2 linked regions of the Arabidopsis thaliana genome follow. The protein of the gene in region 1 interacts with the protein of each later gene in a pairwise test. Each region holds a gene or a part of one and is shown on either strand. Other genes may lie near its edges.

Region 1 (4,192 bases):
AGAGTTTTAATTTTAATTAAAGTGGAAAGAGAAATGGATAGTGATTGCTATTATGAAAAATCTTTCTAGGAGGCAACATGTCACATCTTTGTTGTTGTTGATATAATCAAATAATAGAAAAGGTAATCACATCTTTGTCCTTTTGTACCAGAATTTTAGACATTAGTTTAGCTATGCAAACCAATTTCGTTCTTTTAGCTCCAAACTAAAGACACATTTTCATTGATGCATTCTTCGATATCGAATTGATTTGTTTATCAAAAGTTTATGAAAATCATTTATATTGCTATATTGTATTTAAGCTTCGAGTAAAGAGATATTTTACCAACTAGGCTTCCTATTAAAAAAATTCCAAATCTATCACATAATACACAGTTTCTATGCAATGAGGATGATGCGATATACATCACATGACTCGCCTCACACGATGTCTTTCGCCGTAGACTACAGATTTCTTCCGTTTAATCTTTTATCCAATTATGAATTATCTGGTAGGGTACTTTATATTTTGAAAATCTCTTTCGTGAGAATATGATAGTAATTGTATACTTTCTTACAAAATTTATTGAGAAGCGTACTTTATATATGATGTTTCTCACTCGAATTAAATACGTTAGTTTAATGGGTCGATTCAGATTTATAATAGATTTAAATATTTCGAAGAAAACGCAAATCAGGGATTTTGGTTGTATCATGTGTGAGAGATTGAATTTCTCCAGAAGCACTCATTAAATCGCGTGTGTAAGGAGTTGCCATACAGCGTCGTATGTAATGTCTTAGTCACTGTTCTAGAATTAAAACATATGTCAAATGTAGAATTAAAAAACAGGGGTTAAAATGTTAAATTATTCGGAGAAGTGGAATTATTATATTAAAAACATTGTGTGATTTTGGGATAAAATCTGAATCATGTTTTTTATTGTGCCAAAAAATTTCTGTTTCAACCTCTTCGTGGAGATGAAAGAAAAGTCAATCGGGAATGAGACTTCTTGTATAACGAATGAAAATATGAACATGTTGATTAATGAATTAATTAACATACGTACTATATTAAGTGGGAATATTAGGTATAGGCCTTCGATTTTCCGTTTTGTTTGGTTTTTTCGATTTTAATAATATTTCTCTAAATTAAAATAAATTTTAGTTTGGTTTATTTAAAATATTAATAAAATAATATAAATAACTATCTAATTAATATATTAAAAAGTATTTTCTATATATATTGATATAAATATTATTCCCATGTTTTATATTGGGTGACGTTATCTTTTAAGTAAAGTTGTAAGATATCTAACTTATTCCTACATTATAATAACTATCAAAATAAAATAACTAATTGTAGTGACAATGATGACTATCAAAATATGTATGTGTTTTGGCTCAAACATAGCGTTTAATAACAAACACAATGGACAATTTTAATAAATTTGATCGATTAGATTTTGTTTCATTTTCATGCACTAGATTAAGGTTCGAATTAGATTCATTTTAGTGTATATAGTGAAACTAATTTGTTACTATATGGAAAAAAAAATAAGTTTATTTTTGGTTCAAGAATTTTTATTCGGTACGGTTTGGTGTGTATGTCCAACCCTGAAAAAAAAACTTGAAAAACTAATAACCTAATAACAACTAATTTTCTTAGAAATACAAATTGGACTTGAATACAAAAATGGAAAGAACAACAACAAATCAATAACTAAAACATCGTTGAACTTGCATCTGCCAAATAAAAATCAATAAATCCCATTATTCTAAAAAGATAGTAGGTTTAGAAAAATTGAATAAATGGAAAAAAAAAATTGTTAGGATCTACGAATGAGAACAAAGTTAGCCTTCAAAATACTTACAAATCCCAATAAAAGACTTCATCTCCATGTGTATTTGAGTGTCAACGACAAGTCTACACAAAGGGTAAGAGGTCAACAAGACCACACAACACTTCTTACTATTAGTTTTGCAAAGGCCGTTCGTTGGACATTTCCTTCTCTCTCCTCCCCTCTTCTTCTTCTTGTTCGCTCTATAAACTCTCATCTCTCACGTCTTTTTTTCCTTACATTCTCCAAACTCAAAATTTCATCACATTAATTTCTCTCTATTTTTCTTTTCTTACTTCAATAGTAATGGATAACACTGACCGTCGTCGCCGTCGTAAGCAACACAAAATCGCCCTCCATGACTCTGAAGGTACCTCTCTATTCTCTATATATTTTCTATTTCCTAAATCCAATTTTATTAAACATCTTGAAAATAAATTTAGTTCCTAGCTAGGATCATATTCTCTTTGTATATATTCGTTAAAACGAGGGATACGTTTAATTACTTCTAAATTAGTTACACCTCGTGCTGACTAAAAGACTTATCAAGATTAGTTTCTAGTTTTAACAAAAATTAATATCTTTTTAAAAAGTTTATATTTGTCTTTTTTTGTTAGTTTAATATTGTTTTGAGTTTAATTGGTTTAATATTGTTATTTGCAGAAGTGAGCAGTATCGAATGGGAGTTTATCAACATGACTGAACAAGAAGAAGATCTCATCTTTCGAATGTACAGACTTGTCGGTGATAGGTAACAATTTCTTCTTCTTCTACTTTTTCTAAGATTATCCCAGCATAAAATAAATTTTATATTTTAGACATGTCTAGCTAAAACAATTTAATATGCAGGTATATACAATTTTACATACGTTAATTTAAGCATATGTACTTTATAACATATGTACAGTGTACCATGTTGTAGGGGAAGCACATGGTGTCCACTAATTTTCTAAAAAAAGACATTTAATTAAAGCTATCACGTTCATTAAATTATATATGTACACACATATATATAGAGATAAAAATAAGAACCTAATTTACTATTCTTATCAGTACGTACTCATGTATATAAATGCTTGGCTGGCTCAAAAATGGAAATTTTTGAACTGACAAATTATATTTTATTATGAAAATATAAATGCTAATGCTTGGGATAAAAATGTTTTTTTTTTTCTTTTGAATTAGGTGGGATTTGATAGCAGGAAGAGTTCCTGGAAGACAACCAGAGGAGATAGAGAGATATTGGATAATGAGAAACAGTGAAGGCTTTGCTGATAAACGACGCCAGCTTCACTCATCTTCCCACAAACATACCAAGCCTCACCGTCCTCGCTTTTCTATCTATCCTTCCTAGTGTTTTTGTTTTTAAGCCAACGAAAAAAGAAAATAAAAAAATTATAATAGATGTATAGTAGTGGTTCTTGTTAGTTTGAAGAATTCATCATCTATTGTTTTCTTTTTGTTGTTATTTCATTTATAATTTTTATAGTATAGGTTTCATTTGGTAATCAACTTTAATCCATGCGGTTAGGTTTTTTTATTTTCTCGTCTACGACTTTTATATCCACAACTAGATTTTAATCCGCGGTATATCGCGGTATAATTTACTTTTTAAAGTTAATATATATTAAAACTTGCAAATTTTATTTTTATAAAATATTTTTATTTTACAGTTTATAATTGTTATTAAGTAACGCTATACAACGAATCCATGAGACAATTGTTAAAAAACTGAAGTTTTAACCCTTACTAAAACAGCATATTAATAATATTTTAAAAATTTATAAATATTGATTCAAATACATCCACCATATAACTCAATTCCAAAATAAAATCTGTTCTGTAATTTCTTTACCCATCCCGTGATTTATTTTTAAAGTAGTAATTTTAAAAATTTGAGAATTATTTATTACATATAAAAGTTTTACAAATTGTATCATTCTCTAATACATTTATATTTTATAGTTTAATTTTATATATAGTAACATTTTATATTTTATATTCTCTAATATATTTTATATTCTCTAATACATCAGTAATTAGAAAGTAAAAAAAATTGTGTATTAGATTTAGTCCTTTGAAAGAACTTATCAAGAGGAAACTGATCATTTGTGCAAAAATGGTTGGGTAATATTTTAACTAATGACAATAATTTTAAATAGTAAAAAAAAAAAAAGAAATACTCCATTAGTTATAGTTGACTAGTATATTTTGAAGAAACTACTTAAAAAAATTATTACAGAATTAATGACATAATGTATCTATACTTTAAAAAAAATGTAACTAAAATAAAAACCCCGATCCAATTCTAACCAAAAGTTATGAACACTTATTTTCACAATCACTTAAATATTAGGTGTTACATGCTTGCACTA
Region 2 (3,533 bases), 6.0 Mb from region 1:
CCCATGAACCTTATTATGGTAGAGCCTTATCCATCAATGGGGTTTTGTATTACTTTGCTAGGACATCGTGTTTTCTAGTAGTTTCCTTTAATGTTAGGTCTGAGAAATTCAAGTTTCTTGATGGAAAAGACTTCTCTAATTTTCATAGAGAATTTATAAACTACAAGGGTAAATTAGGTGTGACTAAATTGGAGTGTGATGCTGGTGATGGACATCCCCGTGAGTTGTGTGTGTGGGTTCTAGAGGATGTTGAGAAACAGGAATGGTCACAGTATATCTACTCCTTGCCGAAGATTAAGGTCAATCGGATTAGAAACGACAATATTTTCGCAATGTTTTTGCCTTTGACTATATAGAGGATCTTAGTATTGACGATTCGAAGCAACTCAAGTCAAAACCACAACAACGTCGACATGTAAAGAACAAGCAGGCAATCCTCCTGCAGAACAAGTACGATTTACTAGGTAACTCAGAGTGAGGATCTTATCTTGAAAGCCAAGCCAACGAGTCAAGCTATTTTGGTTAAGAGTGTTACTTGTCATTTACAGGTTACTTACGTGTGAGCTTTATCACCCTGTTGGCGTAGAGTGAGAGCAAACTAATATTTTTTTGTATGGTTATCAAAAGGCCTATGAGGTTTTACCTAGGTGAAGAGGGCTCTCTATATCCAATAACTTGATTGTTAAGAAACCGATGTGGTCAATGATTGAATAGTTGAATTGTCAGAATTGATGTTAAAACAAGAAAGTCATGTGATATGAATACCACTGTAGATTGATTAGAGATTTGTAGTTCATTTTCTGTTGAGATCTTATGAACAAAGATTTATGCTTTATTAAAACTAAACGAACACATCAAATATGCAAAAGAATTGGACACTTAGCTTCTTAAATTTGTTTTCTCTCAACCTTTTCAAGGTCTCATTCATAGGTCTGTTTATGCTTCTTCTGTTCTTCTTGATGAGATGCTTTCCTCTAGTACTAATTAAGTCCATCACGTAATATTTTTTTTTTTTTCTAACAACACTAAAAAAAAATTAAAGATAATATAAATTTGGATGGTTATAAAAGCCCATATGTTTCTTGGGTTTCAAAAGGTTAAATTTCAAAATCACCACCCTTCCCCTAACAGAATCTAATTACATAGGTCGAACTTTTAGCAAAATACGACGAAAATGAAGAATTACGCATGATTGCTATATGTGTCAATCCGACACTTCTATAAAATATTATATGCTTTAATTACTTTTTTCTAAATGTGTAATTTTACATGTATATATATTAAACCAAGCTTAATATAATAAAATATTTAAAAGATTTTAGATAGAAGTCATTTTCAAAAAGTGGTGGTACGGTATTAGAAAATGGACATTTTGAAATTTCTCCAAACGTTTACTATTTAAGATGAATAAATTATTAAAAAATGATTTAATTCATTCAACTCAAAATTGAAAAAAATTGACCAAATTATAAAAGTAGTTTGTTCAATTTATTTATCTACTATTTTGCAGAAAAATAAGTTGAAAGTTATTTTAAATTTCCAAAAAAAAAAACACAAATTTGTTTCCTAGCCATTGAGAGAAAGAAAAATCTCAATTATTCCCAGTCATTCATTTACACACAACCATTTTCCACCCCAAAAATTCAACCAAGTTCTCATAAATTTTAGATAGGTTTTAAAAAATAAGTTGAAAGATATTTGAAATTTCCACACAACAAAAAAAAAACAATTTGTTTCCTAGCCATTGAAAGAAAAGAAAAACTCAATTAATCCCAATCATTCATTTACAAAGCCATTTTTCACCCTAAGACTTCAACCAACTTCTAATAAATCTTAGACAGGCTTTAAAAAATAAGTTATTTAGATTTCGTTCTAAGTAGTTCAATAATTTTATAGGTGAAAAAATAGATCGTGTTTTTAAATAATAAATAAAGTTATATAAATACACGTTTTAGCTGCATGATTGTTAGATGCTTTTATATTGGTTTGACCCAAATGAAGAAACCATGGTCCACAATTGTCCCCCTACTAGTCTATATGAACACCTCTTCTCACCACACACACCAAACATTCATCACAATTCCCTAAATCCTACAATCTTTCTTTTCTTCCATCACCTAAGAGTAAACCCTACCTTGCGTCCCAAGTCTCCACCGATAATGCAACCATCCACCAACATTTTTAGCCTCCATGGTTGTCCACCTTCGTACCTTTCCCATATTCCTACATCCTCACCATTTTGCGGACAAAACCCTAATCCATTCTTCAGCTTCGAAACTGGCGTGAACACTTCACAGTTCATGAGTTTGATCAGCAGCAACAACTCGACCTCAGATGAAGCAGAAGAGAATCATAAGGAGATAATAAATGAGAGGAAGCAAAAGAGGAAGATATCTAACAGAGAATCGGCAAGAAGATCGCGTATGAGGAAGCAGAGACAAGTGGATGAGCTTTGGTCACAGGTGATGTGGCTTAGGGATGAGAATCATCAGCTGCTTCGTAAGCTTAACTGCGTTTTAGAGTCTCAAGAGAAGGTTATTGAAGAGAATGTTCAGCTCAAAGAGGAAACCACTGAGCTTAAGCAAATGATTAGTGATATGCAGCTTCAGAATCAGAGTCCTTTCTCTTGCATCAGAGACGACGACGACGTTGTATAGATGATTTTTATTTTTATTTTTTTGGGGCTCTAGTATGTATCAACAAATGTATATCCAGAGATCTGTCTCAGCTTAAGATTTAATTAAGACTCTAAATTAGTAATTGTTAAAGCAGAGTTCTTCAAACTTGTGTTGCCCGTGAATAGAAGTAAGAAATTGTTTCACAATTGTTTGCATAACAAACGATAAAAATTCACATTGCTGAAGTATAATTTTAAAAAAAATTACATGCATAAATATTTTTGCAAAATGTAAATACAAGCATCAATTACTAACAGTAGACTTTCTTCTTTTTCTCTTTAAAATTTTACGTTTATAATGACCAATTTTGTTCTTTCTAAATTGGCTTAAGTAGTGTCTTTGAAAAAAATATACACCAGCCGTAAACGGTTTATTTTCTTCCATTTCCATTTGCATTTTTATGTTGAAAAATTATTAAGAAAAGAATTAAGATTGTGATTAAAATAATAAGAATATGAAAAGCAAATACGTAAATCTAACGCAAACAAAAACAATTAAGACCTTACATGGTTGTGTACTTGTGTGTGAAACTCTCGTAAATCTAATTATGTCAAGCAAAGAAGAGCTTTTATCTGTAGTATTTTAGTACCTTGTATTTTATTTTATTTTAGTACCTTGTATTGGTAGTGCATGGACTGAGGTTTTGCAAGATTTGGCTTAGAAAGCAGTTAATGCTATTTTTTAAAAACCTAAATTACACTATTGATTATTGGTAAATCTGTTCAGCGGCATAAGTAAACCTATAACTTGGATAAAATGTTAAATCAAGCTTACATCAATCTCAGACAAGAAGACAAACAAACAATCTTACGTAAAAGGAGACCCCTTTCCAGTCAAGAAAACAAACGGCTTTTT

What was found.
Region 2: the proteins of TRY (region 1) and bZIP43 interact in binary tests that used the Arabidopsis thaliana proteins (3 or more experiments, as listed by UniProt).

Annotation. Positions count from the first base shown.
Region 1 is NC_003076.8:21,580,790-21,584,981, forward strand, and holds TRY (Homeodomain-like superfamily protein), read left to right. Parts: upstream 1-1,824; 5' UTR 1,825-2,123; coding exon 2,124-2,187; intron 2,188-2,480; coding exon 2,481-2,568; intron 2,569-3,002; coding exon 3,003-3,171; 3' UTR 3,172-3,454; downstream 3,455-4,192. UniProt on the Arabidopsis thaliana protein: Transcription factor. Involved in epidermal cell fate specification. Negative regulator of trichome development, including endoreplication, by lateral inhibition involving intercellular interactions.
Region 2 is NC_003076.8:15,537,429-15,540,961, reverse strand, and holds bZIP43 (basic leucine-zipper 43), read left to right. Parts: upstream 1-2,072; 5' UTR 2,073-2,159; coding exon 2,160-2,657; 3' UTR 2,658-2,821; downstream 2,822-3,533. Other genes in the region: AT5G38810 (F-box and associated interaction domains-containing protein), read left to right, coding at 1-356. UniProt on the Arabidopsis thaliana protein: Probable transcription factor involved in somatic embryogenesis. Acts as a positive regulator of BHLH109.